Linked DNA regions of Elephas maximus indicus. The protein of the gene in region 2 interacts with the protein of the main gene of each other region in a pairwise test. Links are inferred from orthologs where the notes say so. Each region holds a gene or a part of one and is shown on either strand. Other genes may lie near its edges.

The links.
Region 1: the proteins of PLAA (region 2) and UBXN1 interact in binary tests that used the Homo sapiens proteins (3 or more experiments, as listed by UniProt). The two-hybrid records come from large-scale screens. The link is inferred for Elephas maximus indicus from reciprocal best matches to the Homo sapiens genes PLAA and UBXN1.

Annotation. Positions count from the first base shown.
Region 1 is NC_064825.1:125,849,803-125,860,415, forward strand, and holds UBXN1 (UBX domain-containing protein 1), read right to left. Parts: upstream 5,793-10,613; 5' UTR 5,693-5,792; intron 5,583-5,692; 5' UTR 5,563-5,582; coding exon 5,504-5,562; intron 5,365-5,503; coding exon 5,311-5,364; intron 5,222-5,310; coding exon 5,115-5,221; intron 5,028-5,114; coding exon 4,958-5,027; intron 4,718-4,957; coding exon 4,526-4,717; intron 4,431-4,525; coding exon 4,379-4,430; intron 4,267-4,378; coding exon 4,150-4,266; intron 3,643-4,149; coding exon 3,450-3,642; intron 3,286-3,449; coding exon 3,236-3,285; 3' UTR 3,128-3,235; downstream 1-3,127. Other genes in the region: LRRN4CL (LRRN4 C-terminal-like protein), read right to left, coding at 9,141-9,851.
Region 2 is NC_064827.1:36,632,150-36,643,488, forward strand, and holds the start of PLAA (phospholipase A-2-activating protein), read right to left. Parts: upstream 4,999-11,339; 5' UTR 4,601-4,998; coding exon 4,452-4,600; intron 1-4,451. UniProt on the Homo sapiens protein: Plays a role in protein ubiquitination, sorting and degradation through its association with VCP. Involved in ubiquitin-mediated membrane proteins trafficking to late endosomes in an ESCRT-dependent manner, and hence plays a role in synaptic vesicle recycling.

The DNA.
Region 1 (10,613 bases), on a different chromosome or scaffold from region 2:
TGCCCGGTCCTGTGCCATCCTCACAATCTGTTGCCATGTTTGAACCCATTGTTGCAACCACCATGTCAATCCATCTCCCAAGGGTCTTCCTCTCTTTCACTCTCTACCAAGCATGATGTACTTCTCCAGGGACCAGTCCCTGCTGATAACATGTCCAAAGTATGTGAGAGAAATCTTGCCAATCCTTGTTTCTAAGGAACATTCTGGCTGTCCTTTCAAGACAGATTTGTTCGTTCTTATGGTATATTCAGTATTCTTTGCCAACACCATAATTAAAAGGGATGAATTCTTTAGTCTTCCTTATTCATTGTCCAGCTTTTGCGTGCCTGTGAGGCAACTGAAAATACTATGGCTTGGGTCAGGCACACCTTAGTCTTCAAGGTGACATCTTTGCCTTTGAAGGCTTTGAAGAGGTCTTTTGCAGATTGGCTCAGTGCAATGCGTTATTTGATTTCTTGACTCCTGCTTCCATGGGCATTGATTGTGGATCCAAGTAAAACGAAATCCTTGACAATTTCAACAGGAATAACGAACCATATTTTCGAAACACTATCAGGTCATGTGGCCTAAATTTGCACAAACTTCTGGGGATAACCCACTGACATTCTTGAAATCAGAGCCATCCTGAAAAATCTTGTAGCCGGAGACATAGAGAAGATACTCTAGGCTCCTCCTGTCCTGTGAGGCTGCGGAGGGGCACCTAGCACTTACCATGTGCCATGATGGATTTAGAGAGGTTGACTAGCTATTGGGGGGTAGTGAGGGGTATATATATATGTATATATATATATATATAATTTTTTTTTTTTTTGAGTCAGACAGATCTTGGTTCAACTCCTGCAAGTTATAAAACCTCTCCAAGCCTCAGTCCTGATCTATAAAAGGTGGTAACTATGCCTTGGTGGTTGCTGTAAAAGTTAACTTAGAAATACAAAGTGTAGTGCCTGGCACAGATAGCACAAGCACTCAGTAAATGTAGGTCCCCCCCTCCTTAGGGTTTTCACTGTAAGAGTTTCCAATCTCTGTGAATCTACAGGATCTGTTGGAGATGCCACTGAGGGATGAGATAAAGTAGTGAGGTCCCAAGCCCTATACCCAAGTCAATGAAGCCACTCCTCTTTTGGTTATTTTCTATCCTAAGTAAGAATTCAGTTGGAAAAAGGCTGCTTTTATTAAATAAACTGAGAACACTAAATAAAGCTTGGTAGCTGAGCTCAGAGCCCTGGTAGCACAATGGTTAAGAGCTCAGCTGCTAACCAAAAGGTCAGCAGTTAGAATCCACCAGCTACTCCTTGGAAACCCTAGGAGGCAGTTCCACTGTGTCCTGTAGGGTTGCTATGAGCACTGGTGCTATCTCCAGCTGCCAGATGGTGGAGCTGTAAGCAAAATGTTGGAATTGAGTTGACAATAGGTTTGGGTCTGGTTTTGGTTTAGCCCTGAGGTGTAAACCCAGCTATGAGCACTGGTGCTATCTCCAGCTGCCAGATGGTGGAGGTGTAAGCAAAATATACTCGTGCGTGATCTTTCCAGTGTTACTTATGGCCAGCCTGGGAATAAGAAGCAAGACGTTGGCAGCTGTTTAAGGGAGCACTAGAGTCATGTGATGAGCAGCGGTGAGAGGGACTGCCATGGAGAAGTGTGGTTGGAGCCTGAGCCCGAAAGTCAGGGGCTTCCCAGGTGTGTGTTCAGGTTCTACTACTTGCTAGCTGTGTCAATGTGGGCAAGTCATGTGCTTTGGTATCCTAATCTCTTAAATGGGAGACTTGTACCTACACCTGGATAATAGTGCCCTCATATCTGTTATTACATATAAAGCACTCAGTACCTTCTGATGTCATGATGAGGAAAGCACGAGTGTGGTTTATGACTTACTCTTAGAGCACAAGCGATGCACTTACAAAAGTCACCCTAATGCTCCTCTTGACATTTGTAGGGACAGCCACATTTAAAAAAAAAAAATCTCATTTTAGTAGCTAATACTTATTAGGTGCAAGACACATTGCTAAAACACCTTATAGCGGTGTTATTTAATCCTCACAATTCTTAAGAAACAGGTACTATTATCCCCATTTTACTAAAGAAAAAACTAGGATTAAGTCAAGCTGCAAAGCTAGTAAGTGACTGTGGTACAATGAATTACTTAATGTGGCCCTTCTAGCCACAGTCTTTGTGACTCACACGCAGTGATTGAGTGGGACTGTGCAGATAAGGTATATGGAACCTGTGGTGGCTGGGGCTGTGTGTAAACTTGGCTAGGCCATGATTCTCAGTATTGTATGGTTGTCCTCCGTTTTGTGTGTTGTAAATCCTAACCTCTATATGTTAATGAGTCAGGGTTACTATGGGGTATACTTTGAGACACAGCCTTAAGTCCCACATTACTCAAGTCACACCCTTCTCTGGGGTGTGGCGTACATTTAAGGTACATATGTGGGTGCTCCAGTGGGGCTCTTTTTCTTCTGCATCAGGACCCTGCCTCTAGTTTATTACTGCCTAACCTCCAGTTGTTGGTACTTGAGCCAGAGGCCTGCCATCTGACCTGATTTGCCAGCTTCCACAGCATCCTGAGCCAGTACCCTGGGGTGTAACCTGCCGGTTTAGGTTTATCATTCCCTGCAGCTGTGTGGGTCAGGAGAAGCCTACACTTGACCCATGGATTTGGAACTTGCCAGCCTCTACAACTGTGAGCCATTTCCTTGATACAGTTGGTAAGTTCTGTGAGACGCTGTAGAGAATTATGGAACCTAAAGACGGGAGGAGTAGTAGCTGATGTTAAAGATGATGGAGTGGGACAGCAGTTTGGAAAAGTTTGACATTTGGGAAATCTTTAACCTCTGCCTCATAGGTACCAGCTTTGTGCTGATCCTTATATTCACTTAGTGACAAAATCTGGATTTTAAGCGTATGTATATACTGGCTCTCACTCATGGTAACAAAAGGTACCATCCACTATATACTCCCTACTCTCCAGCACCCCCAGCCTCTCCAGCAACTAGCTAATCAGACCAGGGGGAATAAAAACAAGTTTTTTTTTTGTTGGAAACTAAAGATGTGAACAAGGGGCTATTCCAATGCCTTCCCTTTAGCTCCCTCCTCTGCCTCCATTTGTCCATCCCAACCATTCAGGAAGGAGTCAAGCACGTACAGAACTCAGAAGATCTATTTATTAGGAAGAGGATGTCAGTGCTTTATCAAAGATGAAGAGGTCAGAGAGGGATGGTAGGATAAAAGCCCCTCAACTGGGACATTTCTTGGCCACGATGAGGACGGCAGAAGGCACAAGTCCTGAAGACAGAAGAAAACAGGCTTGAGCCACAACGATACCTACTCTTTGCCCCAAAGGTTCCTGGCCTCACATCATCTCCAAAGCTCCTTCTCATCAAATCCCTTCCCTTCCTAGGCATGTCCCTCTACCCCCGAGCGCTCCTTTCTGGTCCTACATGCCATACCCAGTTCCTGCAAAGGCCGTTCCATGTCAGCCTCTGAGAAGGCCCGTCGGGGGAAGCCACTAAGCAACTGCACAGGGTCCTGGCCCCCTCCTGGCTCCTCCCCACGGTGAAGCTCCACATAGAGTCTCACGGCGGCCAGCTGTTCCCTGGCCCGGAACGTCTGGGTCAGTGAGGTCCCATCTGGCAGCCTGACCTAGAAGGTAAGGAAGAGGTACCGTATTGTGGTAGTCAAGACTGAGTGAGGGGCCCCAGTACAGAAAAGCTGAAGTGGGCCCATCCTTCCTAGAGAGATTGAACCAGCGCTATTATTATTTAGAGCACCTAATGACAACCACTTATACTCTGCTTTATTAAATGCTGGAAAAAAAAACTCCCACCTCCCTTACAATTTGAGAAGACAAAGACGAGATTATATAAAAATACGTGAGTAGATATATTACCCGAGTAACTGTGCAATAAACCAAATAAAAGCCATGAACAAGAGTAATTGCTGAGTAAGAGAGCGGTATTATGGATTTAAATAAGACTGGGACAGATGAAATTCGATACCTCCTCTGAGAGGAGAGGAGGTAGGATTTCAAAAGTCATTTACAAAAAAGGGAGAGGTTTGGCAAAAGGAACATAACTGAAAAAAACCCTAAGCCGGGCACCTTACAGACCAAGGAAGGGTCCCAGGAGTGAGAAAGAAATCAGTCAGTACCTGTATGCGACACTGGTCGTACTCCCGCTTGGTGGGAGGCTCCTGGCTGGGAGAGGAGGGAACAGGACCTGGCTCTGTTGCTGATGGGGATGGCTGAGAACCCACAGTACCACCATACTAGAAGACAAAGTAAAACACTCCATTGGGCACTCACCGGCTCAGGAGAAACACATCATATATAAGCCCATCCTTTCCTTCTGAAGCTGGAAGAGGGGATCCAATCGCCCACCTTCTTGGCTCTCTCGGCTTTATCCCTTTCAATCTTTTCTCGAACCCTTTGTCTGGAAGGCAGAAAGGAAGAAAGTAGGTCAGCCACTGACAAAGCAAATTTTGATTTATTTTCTCCCCTCTAATCCAATATCCCGATCACACAGACCTGGCTGCTAACTCTTCAGCCTTTTCCCTCTTCCGCTCCTCAGCAGCCCTGCGCATCTCATCTTCCTGTAGCCGCTGTCGGGCAGCTGACAACTCCTGCCCTTGTCTCCTGCGCTGCCGTTCCCGTTCCAACGCCTCCCGCTCCTCTCTTTCTTCACGTTCCCGTTGCTTCTGGGCCACCAGCTCCATCATCCTGTGTTGCAGCAAGGATAGAGCTCAAGAGAAATGGACGTTGAGTGGGGACGTGAATTTATGACAATTAGCCTGGAAAACAAAATCAGGGAACATCTATCCCAAAATAAGTGAAAAAAACAAAATGGAAACTGCCCAAAAAAAGAGTGGGAAGAGAAAGTTCAAGCTTCTTAGACCAGACTTCTGTACTGGAGAGAGATGGAAGATGACCCCCAGATTGTGAGACTGTGCCTTACTGTACCTTTTAGTCTGTTCCTGTTTCTCCTCTTCACTCAAACTGGGTTTTCCTTCTCCTGCGGTAGACCCGGGTCCTACAAACAAGCCACCAGTATTATTGCCTTCTGTATTTTCCAGGCCCCCCACCCCACAATAACCACAGCTCGTCCTCCAGTCAGGACCTGCAGGGCCACCGTGCTCTGAAGAGGTGGGTTCCCGTCCCAGGACATGTCCAAGGGGAGTCGCTAAAGGTTCGTCCACATCGGGGTCGTCTTCGTGCTCCATCAGCCTGGCAGGGAGGGTCGGGAGACAGGTTGGCGCTGAGGCTGCCCCCTCCGAGCAACCCCCAACCGCTGGCCACCTAGTCGAAGCACTCACCAGTCCATCGCGGCCTCGATGCCCTGGTTCCCCGTGAGGGCCAGAGCCTTCTCCCTGAGAGCAAAAACACCGTGAATAGCGCCGAGGAGCCATGGTGCTGGACAAGCCGGGGCGCAGGGCTGGAGGCCGGACGGGGCTATAGGCCGGGGCGGGTCTGCGCCCTGCCGCGGCCCGGGGCTGGGGGATCCCTTACGCGCGTCCCCTGGGGAAGCCCATCTCGATGAGACTCTCCAGAGCCGTCAGCTCCGCCATGGCGCCGTCGCCGCCGGAGCCTGAGAAGACGAGGAGGAGGGCGGGGGCGGGTCACCGCGGGGCGCCCCTGGCCCGCACGCAAGGCCGCCCCGACGCCGCGGCCCGGGCCCTTGCTCGCTCGCTCGCTCACCGGGCTCTGGGTCCGCCGCGGACACCGACAAGAAGAAAGCCGAGGGGAGGCGGAAGTGCCCGAATCTGTTTGGGTCACGTGGGAGCGGCCGTGGACGGGTGCTGCGGAGAGACAGAAAGCACGTGCCTGGTTTGGCGGCCGGAGCCTAGCGCGGGCGGGGCGGGGCGGGCGGCGCTGGGAGGCGGCGGTGGGGAGGACGGACGACGCGGCCATGAAACCCGTGGGCGGGGTGGGGCCAGTTCCCGGGAGTTAACGCTGCCTCACCCTTTTTAGATATTAAGAGGAATCTGGCCCATTAGCTCAACCATCAGCAGAGTTATTTGGCAGTGTTTATCAGGAGCCGTAGAAATGTGCACACTCTTTGACCCACTCATCCTCTCCGGGGAATTGAGCCATCCTCCGCCCACCTGCCAGAGGGATCTTTGCAAAAAAACAGGATCTGATCCTGTCTTCACCTTCCTGCTTAAAATTTCTCCAGGACACCCCAGTTACCCAGAACAACACTCAAATGCTGATTTGCCTTCCTCCCCCTGTCCCCTTTTTATGTTAGGGCACCTACCTTAGGTGCCTGGCAAGACAGTGTTGTATAAATGTTGATTGTTATTACGCAATTTCACCTCCCACCACTTCAGGGTAACCTGTGTATGTTACAAAACAGAGCCTTCTCCTTCCTCCTGGCCTTTGCATCTGCTAGTCCCTCTGGGGTGCCCTGCCTCTTCTCAGGGCTTCCTTAACTCCCCGTCATTTTTCTGGACTCAACTCAAGGTTTGCTTTCTAAGGGAAGCCTGCTTTGAGCACCCCTCTCTGGTCCCAGCTCTAGTATTTACCCCATTATACATTTTTACCCCTCCTTTGTAGTCTTCGTTGATTGCTTAGCCCTCCACCACTACCCAGGCTGTTAGATCCCTAAAGGTTGTTGTTAGTTGCTCTCAAGCCTACTCTGACGCACGGCGATCTCATATACAACAGAACAAAACACTGCCTGGTCCTGTGGTATCTTCACGCTCCTTGGTATGCTCCAGTCCATTGTTGCCACCTCTGAATGTTCGGAGTGCCTTCAACCTAGGGGGCTCATTTTCAGCCCTGAAGGTGGAGATACGCTTATTGCACAGTGCCTGCTACAAAGTCAAGCTCACTTTGTTTCTTAGGAGGCAGAGCAATAATAAATTACTGATGCTGATAATATATTACCCACTGGAGACTGTTATATGATTAATTCATTTAATCATCATAGCAATCCCTATGATGTATTATTAGTCACAGGAAACAGACACTGAAAGATGAGATAATTTACCTAAGGTCACAAGCTGATAAGTAGGAGAGCCAGCATTTAAACCCAGAAGGTGTTCATTCATTAAACCACTAAACGTTGTTTCTCCGTGGTGGAGAGGAGAGCATCCGCTTTGGCGTTGGGCAGCTTAGGCCCAAATCCTAGCTCGACTCCTTGGTTGTATCTTCAAACCATTTAGAACCTTGGATTTTTCACCTGTGAAATGATTGTAGTGAAGATTGAGAATGCATGTAAAGCACGTCTTTAATAATGAGATAACAGGCTCTGTCATTATTCATAAAGGGATGAATGCTGAAGAAATACAGGAATTAAACTAGAAGGTACAAGTTATTCACTGCAGTGTGATAACAGGTGTATTTTAGAAAACAAATGCATTTTGAATTTATTCTAGAGTCTCTGTAAGAAGCGAATGGTTAAAACTTACGGTGCTGCCTTTTTGACCTACTTTCAGGTAAGTATCCTATAGAAATACTCTCACAAAACATTTGAAGATGCACAAACAAGGATGTTCATGGAAAACCCTGAAGACAACTTAAAGGTTCCGACAAAGAGCAATGGCTAAAGTCAGTTAAGGAGCATCCTCCTACGGAAATGTATGCAGCCATCAACATACCTCGTTTACTGACATGGAACTTTGTCCGTGATATATTGCCTGAAAAAGCAAAATATTTGCATTGCATAGAGAAAGACTTCTCTGCTAAGTGCAATTAGCTCTTGAGGAGAACTGCGACTTTATATTTGCCAATATTCCTTGAAATTTGTATATTTCTTTTATTATGAAAACATGTTATAAGGCCAGTAAAGTTCCCTGGGTGGCACACGACTAATAACCTCAAGGTTGGAGGTTCCAACCAACCCAGCAGCACCGAGGAAAAGAGGAAAAAAGGCCTGGCAATCTGGTTCTGTAAAGATTATAGCTCAAAAAACTATATGAAGCAGTTCTACTCTGTAACACATGGGGTTGCCATGAATTGGAGTCGATTAGATGGCATCAGGTTTGGTTTTTGTTTTTTTAATGCAGCAACGTAAAATAGACTTTTCTGTGCCCAGTTAATTTAAACATAAATTCAAAAGTTTGTGTGTATCACTCTGAAAAATAGATGTGTGGATAGGGGATTGAAAAAAACATGAAAATGGAAATATCTGTCTTTTAAGCTTCCTTTAATGTCGTTAATGATGCACAATAAACACAAGTGGGGGTGGAAAAGGGGGAAATCCCCCCCCTTTTTTTTTTAAACAAGCAGAACAGATGGTAGTTCAGGCAATCCCTCCCTTTTTGCCAATGCATCAGACTTTTATTTCTACCCTTAGACACAGGTGGACTCTGACTCGGATGTGTTCATCCTTAATAACTGAACAAAAAGGCAGAAGGAGAAGGGGGTGGTCTCTGTCCTCAGACTCCCATCCTGCAGAAGCTTATATTCTCAAAGTCCCACTGAGGCCACCCAAAGTGGCAGACCCCTTTTGAGAGTGTAAGACAGAAAGCTGTATAACTACAGCCCAGCAGGCCAAATCTGGTCTGCTGTCTGATTTGTAAAGGCTACAAGCTAAGAATGGTTTTTATATTTTTAAATGGTTACATTTCAAATGGTTATATAAGTACCTACATACTAAAAACGCAAAAAATCCTTGATTTTATCCTCTTCAATGGCAAAGCCTATGTTATTTACTATCTGACCCTTTAAAAAAAATTGCCGACCCCCGTTCTGTTGTCTGGTCCCTGGGTGGCGAAAATGTTTTGCCCTGGACTACTAACTGAAAGGTTGGCAATTCAAATCCACCCCGCTGCGTTTCAGAAGAAGGGCTTGGCTCTGTTTCAGCAAGGTTACTGCCTTGAAAACCCTAGGGGGTGCATTTCTACTCTGAAGCACATGGGGACGCCATAAGTCAACAGGTTTGTTGCTTATTTTTTTTTGGTCTATAGTCTTCCTTCAATCTCAGCCAGAAACAAAGTGACAAGTGTGGGACCTAAGGAAGCTCTCAGACCAGAGAATTGGGCACCTGGGGCCTGCAGCTCAGCGCACAACCTGGTGCTCCGCCATCCAGCTCCAGCGGGTCGCGAGCCAGGCTGCAGAGGCCATCTCCGGCTCCTCCCCTGGGTCTGGGCTGAGCTCCCCAGGTGGGGTTTGGCTTTGCCAGAGAGGCCCCAAGGCCCCTTCAGAGCCCCTCTGCGGCCCGGGCTTGGCGGCGGGGACAGCCCCAGCGCTCCCGTAGGCAGAAGTGCCAGACCAGGGCCGAGCAGCTGAGCAGGGCCAGGCCTGTGCCCACGCCCACGGCCGCATGGACCAAGGTGAGCGGCCTGGGGGGCACGGCAAGCCGGCCGCAGGGCCCGAAGGCAGGAAAGTTGGCCCCCGTGAGGCTCTCCCCGTCGGCCCGGGGCACGCTGCTTTCTCCTGCCTCGTTGGCAGCCACCACACAAACGATGTAAGCCCCCCCAGCCTTCAGTCCCTCCAGTTCTGCTCTTCGGACGGTAGAGTTCAGGGGGGGCCCCTTTTGGGGAGCCCCGCTGCCTTCCCAAAGCAGCAGCCAGTATTGGTGGACGGGGGAGAAGGGAGCACACCAGTGGACCAGCGCCCGGCCCTCCTCGGCCACCACGTGCACTTCTCCTAGGCGAGGTGGGTCTGGTGGCTGGGAGGGGCTGGAGAGTCCAGGGCACAGGCAGGCCGTGGGCCCGGCCCTCTGCAGCTCCTTGCAGGGTACCTGCAGGTGGCGGCAGCGGTCATAGTCACAGGGGACAGGCTGGGAGGGTGGCCTTGGAGTCTCATCTTCCTCCTTTTCCTCAAAGTCTTGAGGAGCCAAGGGCTGAGCTCTGGGAACCAAGGAGAAGGTCACGACCAGGAGCCACAGTAGGCAGGGTGAGCCCAGCATGGAGTCTGGAAGCAATAGGTAAAGCTGTTTAGACTCCACGTCTCCCAGGCCCCATGCCTCAACAAAACTTCCAAAGACGGGGACATAGAACTAGGGGCCATGACAGGAGCCAGAAAAAGGTGGGAATGAGACAAGACGCACTCACTTGTCAGCCAGCTTCTGCACCCAGGCTACATGCTCGGTTTTGGACAAAAAGGAACAAAATACGGTCGGGCATGTGAGAGAGACGGAGACAGAAGTGAGACCAGCAAGGAGTGATGTGCTAGAAACAGTTGATGAATAAACAAAGTGCTGGGGCAAGAAGAGGAGGGGGTGACTGACTCAGCCTAGGGAGGGAGAGGTGGAACGACTCCCAGCTGCCACAAAGAGAAAAGACCTAAGTAAAACAAACATCAGTCGGCGACATATATGAAAACCGAGAAACGAGACACGAGTGAGAAAGAAGAGGTGGAACCAAAGCCAAACCATTGTGGTCAAGTGGATTCTGACTCATAGTGACCCTATAGGACAAGAGCAGAACTGCCCCCATAGGGTTTCCAAGGCAGTAAATCCTTACGGAAGGAGACTGCCACATCTTTCTACCTCAGAGTAACTGGTGGGTTCGAACTGCTGACCTTGCGGTTAGCGGCAGAGTACTTAACCACTGTACCAGGGCTCTTCCAGATATGGAACAGGAGGAAATAAGGACCCCGGACTCCTCACCCCCCACCTGTTACGGGTACCACTCCTGTCCAAGCAGTCCTGATCCTGTCTGTTCACCAC
Region 2 (11,339 bases):
TCGGACTCATGGCGACCCCGTACATAACAGAATGAAATGCCAGAGGGTCCTGTACCATCGCCTTGTTCTGTTGCAGTCAGGACCATTGTGGCCCACAGGATTTCTGTTGGCTGATTTTCAGAAGTAGATCATTTGGCCTTTCTTCCTAGTCCATGTTAGTGTAGAAGCTCTGCTGAAACCTGTCCAGCATCATAGCAACAAGACAGATGAGCGGCGGCTGCACGTGAGGTGCACTGGTCAGGATCTGAACCTAGGACTCCCACATGGAAGGATTCTACTACTGAACCACCAAGGCTTCCCTTAATACATTTATTATTACCGCACTGTATTTCAGGAAAAGGAACCCTGGTGGTACAGTGGTTAATGCACTTGGCTGCTAACGGTACAGTTGTCGGTTTGAACCCACCATCTGCTCCACAGGAGAAAGACATGGCAGTCTACTTCTGTAAGGATTTACAGTCTTGGAAACCCTATGGCAAAGTTCTACTCTGCCCTACAGGGTCACTATAAGTCAGAATCAACCTGACAGCAACAAGGTTTTTATATTTCAGGAAGTTCCTGGAGCACATGCTCGATATGCAACAGGGAAGAACCAGGAAAAAGTAAGTTACAGGATATTGACAATAGAAATCCAACACAAGAGGTCCAAAAAGAGAATTGTGGAGATGAGAGATACCAGGATTAGCGGTGCACCAGAGGCAGACTGACCAGGTCAGAAGGCTTTCACTGCCAAGATGAAACTGTAAAATATCTGATGCGTCTAAATGTCTGGAGGCGATTTAGACAACTAGCAAAGAATCTGAAATCAAATTGGTGATGAACATATAGAAAATGAGATCAGAAAGCAAAAAACACACAGTTATTATATCAGTTTCAGATCATAAAATTGCTCAGGAAATCACACCTTGTTCCAAAGCTCAGATGTAGAAAGAATTTACGTAGCCATTGTTATTATGTAAATACAAAATACTGATTTAGTCAAAATTCAGCTAAGTTATATTATAAGGATCAGGGCACAAAAACGATGTATGTTTGATAGGGGTACTTGAAGAGTAAAGAGAGCTAAATGCTTATAATCCATAGTAGAAATTAATAACACCTAAAATAAAAAATAGGGTAGCTATGAGTTGAAATAAATTCGATGGCATCCAGTTAAAATAAAAAAAGAGAAATAGCAACATAAGCGTTTTAAGTATAGTCATGGAAATAAAATACAAAATAAGCAATTAAAAGAGATGAAAACGTTGACCTCCCAGAAAAGAAAACCAGGATGGAGTGGGAAGGGAATTTCTTTGTTTTCTTAACAAATCCCACAGAACTATTTGACTAAGGACCCAAAGTGCTGAGCGTTTATACAAGGGAAAGGTCAGTTTAGCCTCCACAATGATTAGGGAAAATTTACTGCAAAGCTGCTGAATCCTTACCTCACCTCTCTCTACCCTGAAGCTGGTAACAAACTTGGGGAATGCAGTTTAGTTTGGAAAGGGCTCACAGAGGCCTGAAGCAGTCTGAAACAATGGCACATCAACAGTTTGCTTCAACGTACAATCAAAAAATTGACACCTCCACTCTGGAGGACATTCATAGGCCAGGAAACTTTTTGGTTTTTCAATGGCTTTTGTGAAAGACAAGTCTAATCCACCCTAGAACAGGACTACTTCTGCCTCACTGGAACCATATTCTCCTATCATTCCCAGTCCATCCTGATCTAGAACCACATCAACAATGTACATGGGAAAGCAAATTTCATTTACTATTTGGCTCCAAACATTTTATAGCACTTTATTAACTTTATTAATATATCATGAAATAAAAACTGCCAGGATGTCTGCTTTAATGATGCTTTTTATAACAAAAGGGAAGGTATGGTTGAGACCCTCTAGATGGGACGCATAAGAGGTCCATCCCCAGTGACTATGAAACACTCTAATCTGAATAGCTGAACATGAGAAGTAAAACAATCTTATCTCACTGATATTTATATTACCCGCTACCTATATACCTGTGCCCTGCACAATGCAGGCTTTCAGTGTCAGTTGAATAAATGCATGAATAAATTTGAAAAAATAAAAATAAAAAATCATGAGTTAAATGAAAAAAACTGGTTTTCAAACAGAGGCTCACTGCAGCCCAAGTTCCACAAATTCCTAGTAAATGCAACCACTGCAGTGATATAAGCTCTTGAGAACCTAGCCAAATGCTAAAACAATAAAAACCCTGTTGCCGTCAAGTCAATTCTGACTCATAGTGACCCAAAAGGAGAGAGGTGAACTGCCCCATAGAACTTCCAAGGCTGTAAATCTTTATGGAAGTAGACTGCCACAACTTTCTCCTGCAGAGTGGTTGGTGGTTTCCAACCGCCAAGCTTTTGGTTAGCAGCCGGGTACTTAACCACTGTGCCACCAGGGCTCCTGGCCAGGTCCTACAAAATATGCAAAAGTGTAATAACAGGATGCAACTACTACAACAAGCATCTTTTAGATCTCACTATTGCGATGTCTTTACAGTCTACTGGGCATATGCTTTTAATAGACTTATTTTTAAAAGTACAAGCTTAATCCATAATTGTACTCAAGTATACATAAAAATCATTTTTTTTATGTATACTTGAGTCAGAATCCACTCAACAGCAATGGGTTTTTAATGGGTATACACAAAAAAAGTTACATATTAGTGTTACTAATGATTTGGAATATCATAGAATCTTAGAGTTACAAGAGACTCTTAAAGGTCATCTTCAATCCAACGCAAGAATTTGTTCTATAATATTGTTAGTTTAGTCTTACCCTCATAGCTTAGCTGCTCTGCTGCAAAAGCCTCCAAACAGATCTGCTTCCACACTTGCCCTCTCCAATTTACTCTCTACCAGCAATTAGTAAAACTTCTCAACAGGTCAATCAGATCACACTGCTTCCTGCTTGAAATCCTTTGAAGGCTTCCCCTCCACACTCCCTTTTCTCTGCCCTCTTACCATGGCAGGTCCTGGCTCCTGCCAGCTTGTAAGACCTGCCCTCACTTCACCACTCAATCCCTCCTGCCACACAGGGACTTTCCCAATCCAGGGCTTCTGTGTTTGCTCCTCCTGCAGCCTAGACACTCTTCCAGTCCAACCCTTTCCTGATCTGCTCCATGTCATTCTTCAAACATCAGCCTAAATGTCACCTCCTTAGATAGGCTTTCTTCTTCCTTTTTTACGTTTAATTCTATTGTGATGAAAACACACTTAACAAAACTCAGTAACACTGATTATTCCTTTTCCTCAAGTTGTGCAACCATTCTTGCTATTCTTTTCCAAATCATTCCACCACCATTAACACAAACTCAATGCCCCCTAAGAGAAGCTTCCTTCTTTAACATTTTTCTCCATCCAATTCTATATTTGCTTCCTTCATAGTACTTATGTCAATCTGCAATTACTTACTTGCTTTTTTTTTTGATCCATCTTCCTCACCAAACTATAAATAAGCTCCATAAACACAGGGATCTTATTATTTATTCCTCTCCAGATTTCAAACAAACAGGAGGCACTCAATAAATAGTTATCAATTGAATTCAGAGACCCTCACTCAAACTCTGAGTAAATACCCCTAGTGACGGGAGACTTACTACACAACAAAGTACCTCATTCTAATTTTGGTTTTATTTATTTTTTTCTGAACTGAAATCTGCCTTCCAGGTCTTAAATTTCTTTCTATAATCAGTAAAATCAGGGCTGAATCCTTGAACTTTATCTAAACTGAAGGAGTAGTTCTTGACACTTCTTGGATCATGAACCCCTAGAATAATCTTTTGAAAGCAATGGGATCTCTTCTCAAGCAAACAGCACATCCACGCATTTCCATAAGACACGAGGGTATTTCATGTCCTCCTCCCAAGCCCATCAGATATCCCAGAATAAGAAACTCAGACGCGGACAACGAGGGGAGCCAATGCAACTTTTCGCAATGCAATTTTTGAGAACTAAGGTTTTCAAAAATTAAATCTGAGATAAAACTACAGAGAAAATTCAAAGGGAAAAAACATGACTTACTTCAATTGCTAAGTACCTTCACATTTCATTTAAGAGGTTGCACTTGGCATCAATAAATTTTCAACACTAAAAGAAACTTGGGAGATCGTGTTGTCCAAAAGTTTCTCACTTTACAAATAAGAAAACTGTAGCCCCAAAAGGTAATACGCTCGGCCAAGGTCACCCACTCGTTAGTGGTCAGGTTAGGACAAGAAGTCGGGTCTGTGATCCCCCAATGCGATGCTCTTGCCATTTAAATTTCGCTGGTTTCTTACACTGCGCGTCCTGAGCGCCAGAGCTCTCAGAAGTGGGAGAGAACGCTAAGCAGACGGAAGACTGGAAAGAGAGAGGAGAGCAGACAGAGCAGGACAGGGTCACTCTCTTCACACTCGCCCAAAAGCGTGCAACACGGCCAGGAGACAGACCGACTCGCAGCGCTCACCTGTCTGGGGCCCAGAGGCGAGTGGTGCGGTCTCGGGACACGGACACAAAGGCCCCCGGCGGATAGAGACAGCTCACCAGGCCGCGTACGTCCAGCTCGTGGCCCGGGAGCGAGCAGCTCAGCCGGTACTTGGCGGCGCCGCTTGCCATGGCCCGCGTCAGTCCGGCGCCGCGGGACCCGGACGCCGCGCGAGGTCTGTCCCCAGGGGACGCGAGGCGTTCGCCAGGCCGCGGTACTGACGGGATCCGCAGGTGAGGGGCGCCGGGAGACCGGAAGAACCCGAAACCGGTGCGGAAGGGTGGCCGGGAAGGGGCGCGCCGAGCGGGCCGAGTGACACAGCAACCCTGACATACACACCGGAATTCATCATCGGCCTCAGCCCGCCATGACGCAGAGCGTGTGCGCCCCGACTTTCGAATCCAGCGCGACCTAAGGTTCGCTTTCCTCCTGCGCTCTGGACCTCCGGCTGAGAAAGAGACAGCGACACCTGATCTCCTGCCCCGGGTCCATGAAAGCCGGGACAAGACTGTTGTAAATCGAGACGTGGGGCTTGGGGGCCTGGACTACAAATCCCATAATGCCATGCGCCATTGGGGTGTGAACTTCCTGTGCGCTGGGTCCGGATATTTTAAATCTTCATCCCCAGCGCTGCACGCTGTAGAGTGAGGTTGTTCGGTGTCTTGGGTTAGGGGAGACTCGCTGCCTTCTTCCCAAACCTTCTCTGCATATCCTCCTGAAGTTTTAATAAGCTAAGCGTTTTTTTATTAAAACGTGAGGGCTTGGGTCCAAACCTTTAACACTTGCTTTTTTTTCAAGTTACCATGATCTCTGCCCACTATCATCAAACTTAGCAGAAAATTCGGTGGTCCACGTTTATTTTTCATTTGCCTGTTAATTCCCCGGGAGCTCGTTCAAGTGCAGGTTTGGATTCTGTAGGTTTGGGAAGGAGCTGAGAATATTTTTTTAAATTAATTTTTATTGTGCTTTAAGTGAAAGTTTACAAATCAGGTCAGTCTCTCATACAAAAATTTACATACACCTTGCTATACATTCCTAATTGCTCTCCTGCTGACGAGATAGCACAGTACTTCCCTCCACTCTCCTCGTGTCCATTCAGGTAGCTTATGGCCCCCTCTGCCCTCTCGTCTCCCCTCCAGATAGTCTCATGTGACCGCTTGATCCAAGAAGCTGGTTCTTCACCAGATCATTTTCCATCCCCTTATAGGGTCGCTATGAGTCAGAATCCACTCGATGGCACTGGGTTTGGTTTTTTGGTTTTTTATTCCAGTCCAATCCCTTTCTGAAGAGTTGGCTTTGGGAATGGTTCCTGCCCTGGGCTAAGAGAAGGTCTGGGGTCCATGGCCTCCAGGGTCCCTCCAGTCCCAGTCTGACCATTAAGTCTGGTTTTTTTTATGAGAATTTGGGGGTTTCTCTGTTGAGTTCCCTGTCAGGGCAGTCATCGGTTGTGGCTGGTACCATGTAGCTCTTTTGGTCTCAGGCTGATGTAGTCTCTGGTTTATGTGGTTCTTTCTGTCTCTTAGGCTCATAATTATTTTGTGTCTTTGGTGTTCATTCTTCCTTGCTCCAGGTGGGTTGAGACCAATTGATGCGTCTTAGATGGCCACTAGCTAGTGTAAGACCCCAGACGCCACTCTCCAAAGTGGGATGCTGAGAATATTTTTAACAAGCCCCCAGGCGACGCTGCTGGTGTGCAGACTACACCGAGCCTTAAGGATCTACATCACCTGCCTCATTTTCAACTTCCATTACCATTCCATCCACTGTTCCTTTGCATCTAACTCCAATTGTACACAAACCCTCCTAATTTCCAAGTCCAATCCACACTTTTCTGACCTCTCCTTTCTCGAAATTCTCACTCTAGGTTTTGAAGCACTACTCACATAGTTTTTGTTTCTCTGACCTAAGTACTGAAATGTTAGCATTTTAGTATTTCTTCTGCCATCATACCCTCTTCCTGGGTGGACCAGTTAAAACTTTGCTTGTTTCTAAAGCTATATTCCAAGATTGACTTCTCCAAACTCCAGGTCTGTATTTCCAGCTGCCTGCTAGAAATCTCCACCTGCCTGTTTCTTCCTTCAATTATTTCAACATTCTCTACCCCTTCTGCCCCTTTTCTCCATCCAATTCCACACAATCAAAATAGGATTACCTGTCTAAAATATGTTATCTCTTTGCTCAGTAACCTCCGATGTCTTCCCTTCTTAGGTATAGTAATATATAGATAGTCCTGGACTTACAATGGGTTACGTTTTGAGGACTCTGTCATAAATCTTTTTTTTTTTTAAATAAGTTTTCATTATTATTGCCTTTTATTATCAATGTCTTTATAAAATCGGTCTGTATTTGTCTTTGAGGGTTGGCAAGAGAAGAACATCAGCCAGTTATGCACTACAAATTGTATGTAGTACATATTATTAATGATAAGATGATTTTAAAAAAAGTCGTAAATCAGGGCCTACCTGTACAAGGCTTTTTATACTACTTCCTCAATCTATTTTACTAGATTCTCCATTATCTTCATGAATCTCTTACCCCAGCCACAATGAATTTCTCAATTCCCTGAACACATCATGCTGTCTCCGGTTTCCACGTTCTTTGTACATGGCTCTTTTTTTTTTTTTTTTAACCTGGAATGCCATTCTTTCTCCATTTGGCCTATTACCACACCAGTTTAATTATCATCTGGCTCCTTATCCTTTGAGGAACAATGCAATTTTATTTATCTGCATTATAGCATATACTGCCTTCTAATACATTCATTTCTGTCTTTGTCTTTTCCTCCAGACTAAATTTCCCTCAGTACCTGTAATGGCTTTCTTTATCTTCAAATCCTAAGCGTCCAGTTTAGTACCTCACACTGATTAGGTCCTTAATAAATGTTTTTCAACTTTGTATATTATTTCGTTTACAAAGCAATTTTCACATAGTCTCTCATTTAATCCTCACAATAGCCCTTTAATGTAGATAATATTATTATCCCCAACTTACAAATGAAGAATTAGCCTCCTCCATGGGTAGTGCTCCAAAGTGTTTGTTGATTAAATTAGTTAATGGATGAATAAATGAATGGAGCTGAGACTGACCTTAAATTCTGTGAATACTAAACTGGGTCCTTGGTACTTTTTTCCTAATTATACTATTCTCTATGCGTTTAAAAATTGAAAGATTTAAACAAATATTTTCATTCAGTTGTCACATCTGCATACAAATAACTAAATGCTGGGACCTCCTCCAACATGCCTGAAGGCATTAAGGGAGAAAACTCTGTAATGGCAGTAGGTTCTCTCATACATGGAATAATCGGACAGCTAGCTGTAAACATTGCAATTTAAGTTCTCAGTGTGATGTTTTCAGACTCATAAAACCGAAAAACCCAGTGCTGTTGATTCAATTCCGACTCATAGCAACTCTGTAGGACAGAGTAGAACTGCCCCACAGAGTTTCCAAGGAGCGCCTGGAGGATTCGAACTGCCAATCCTTTAGGTTAGCAGCTGTAGCCCTTAACCACTATGCCACCAGGGTTTCCTTCAGACTCATAGCGACCCTAAAGGACAGAGTACACCTGCCCTGTAGGGTTTCCAAAGAGCACGTGGTGGATTTGAACTGCCGACATTTTGGTTAGCAGCTGTAGCTCTTCACCGCTATGCCGCCAGGGTTTTATATGATTTAGTAAGGAGCCCTAAATCCACTGTTATTGTTGTTAGGTGCCATTGTGTTGGTTACAGCTCATAGCAACCCATCTGTACAACAGAACAACACATCGCCTGATCCTGCACCATCCTCACAATCTATATTTGAGCCCATTGTAGTCACAGTGACAATCCATCTCACTGAAGGTCTTCTTCTTTTTCGAGGATAGCCTTCTCCAGGTACAAGTCCCTCCTGATGACATGTCCAAATATGTAAGACAACGTCTCACCATCCTTGCTTTTCAGGAGCATTCTGGTTGTACTTCCAAGACAGATTTGTTTGTTCTTCTGGAAGTTCGTGGTATATTCAATATTCTTCACTGGCATCACAATTCAAACGCATTAATTCTTCTTTTATCTTCCTTGTTCATTGTCCAGCCTTCACATGCATATGAGGTGATTGAAAACACCATGGCTTGGATCAGGTGCACCTTAGTCTTCGAGGTGACATCTTTGCATTTCAATGCTTTAAAGAGGTCTTTTGCAGCATATTTGGCCAATGCAATGTGTCTTTTGATTTCTTGGCAGCTGCTTCCATGGGTGTTGATTTTGGATTCAAGGAAAATGGAATCCTTGACAACGTCAATGTTTTCTCCATTTATCATATTGTTGCTTATTGGTCCAGTTGTGAGGATTTTTGTTTTCTTTACATTGAGGTTGTCCTAGAGTAAAATCACAACAAAGTTATAGTAAAGCAAGAAGACGGATTTTATTCTGCCTGTGTTCCAAGAGACAAAAATAGGAAAAGGACAAGTATGCTGCCAGAGCCATGCAACCCGTGTCCAATGAATGTTACTGAATCATCAGTATGTACAGACATTACAAATGGGTAAAACCATTAAAAGTTTCACCTTTTCATAGATTGGCTGAAAACTGTAAAATCCTCATGATTGTATGTTTTGAATTGTCTTTCTTAATAATAATTGGTACAAGTTCAGCAAAAACAGTCAGGAAACTGTGTGAGTCTTTTGTGTTCTAAGTATTTGTTTATATGAAAGCTTTCTTAAAAGATGTTTTCCAAGATGGTCCTAGCTATTGTTGTCCTTGTGAGTTCCTGTGATTCTAGCTCTACCTGGGTCACAGTCTTTATATTTAAGGACAGGGAATAATTGATCCAATTTTGACCCCTAAGTCACTCCCTCCTTTGATTGGAGATTGGAGATAGCATATGGATGAACAAAACCTGGACTTAGTCAGGTTCCTAGATGACAATCATGGCAAGTTCTTTAAGCTCATGGTGTTGGTTTTCCACTGGATACCATCTGGTTCTTCACCAGGATCTTAAGAAAAGGTGACATTCTGATCAATCCCATTGTAAAAATGAGCAGAATCGTTTTACATCAACACCTTAACCCAAACCTTTCTTTTGCCTTTTGTTATCATTAAGGTTGCGTGTCAACTTGGCTGGGCCATGATTCTCAGTGGTTTGGCAGTTATGATGTACATTGGCAGTCTTATAATGTTGTGACCACTTCCATGATGAGATCTGATATAATGCGATCACCTCCATGATGGGATCTGTTATAAGCAGCCAATCGGTTGAAAGGAAGTTTCCTTGGGGTATGGCCTGCATCCAGTATAGGTGAACTTTCTGGCAAAACTTTTAGGCTACTGCTCATTCTGGATCGTGCAGCTGGCTCCTGTTCATCTGACCTCTGGTGCTTGGAATTTGAGCTAGAAGCTTACCTGCCAATCTTAGGATATGATGGCCTCTGCAGCCTGTGAGCCAAAGGCCTGTTGCCTCACTTGCCAATCTTGAGTTCACCAGCTTCTGCAGCTACAAAGTCAGGAGAAGCCTCCAGCCTGACCCACGGACTTGGGACTTTCCAGCCTCTACAACTGCATGAGCCACTTCCTTGATATTTTTATAAATGCTGGTCTTGCTTCTCTGGAGAACCCATCCTGTAATGATTTGCCCAATTCCAGAATGGGTAATTGGAATAGATATACTCAGCAATTAGAAGAACCCCCACATTGGATCCCTGACAAGTGGAGTAAGGGCTATTACGGTAGGAAAAACCAAGTGGAAGCCATTAGGAATGCCCCTACTTAGGAAAATAGTAAGCGAAAAATAATATTGCATTCCTGGAGGGATTGCAGAGATTATTGCCACCAATTCCTGGAGCCTTGTTTTTTGCCATTGCCTTCAGTGCAGCTTGGATTTCTTCCTTCAGTACCGTTGGTTCTTGATCATATGCAACCTCCTGAAATGGTTGAATGTTGACTGATTCTTTTTTGTATACTGTCTGTGTATTCCTTCCATATTTTTTTGATGTTTCCTTCATCATTCAGTGTTTTTCCTATAGACTCCTTCATGGATTGAATTACGTCTACCCAAAAATGTGTGTATCAACTTGGTTAGGCCATGATTCCCAGTATTCTGTGGTTGTCCTCCATTTTGTGATTGTAATTTTATGTTGAGAGGATTAGGGTGGGATTATAACACCACCCTCACTCAGGTCACCTCCTTGATCCAGTGTAAAGGGAGTTTCCCTGGGGTGTGGCCTGCACCACCTATTATCTCTCAAGAGATAAAAGGAAAGAGAAGCAAGCAGAGAGTTGGGGACCTCATACCACTAAGAAAGCAGCACCAGGAGCAAAGCACTTCCTTTGGACCTGGGGCCCCTGCGCCTAAGAAGCTCCTCGACCGTGGGAAGATTGAGCACAAGGACTTTCCTCCAAAGCCGACAGAGAGAGGCTTCCCCGTAGAGCCAGCACCCTGGATTTGGACTTGTAACCTACTAGGCTGTGACAGAATAAATTTCTCTTTGCTAAAGCCATCCACTTGTGGTATTTCTGTTATAGCAGTACTAGATGACTGATACAGGCCTTAAATATACTAGTTCCTCCAATTGCAAAGTACTTTAAAGTAGCTATTGATGGCTTTAATTTTAGCATTGTGATCCTTTATTGAGAAACTATCATAAAACAGGTCCAGAGCCACCATCTCCCCCTGGGCATTTCATAAAACAGGAGAGGAACTGCCACTTCCCCCTGTGAATTGGCATCTATTATCTTTCAAGATTTGATGATTCTACAAAAATGGGTGCCTACAAAAATTTTTAGAATTTCAAAGCAAAGCATTACTTTTGATTTCTCAGAGGCAAGACAAAATCAGCTGAAAAGACTTTGAGATCCTTTGTAATAACTTTTATCAAGCCAATTTGTGCACCAAAAT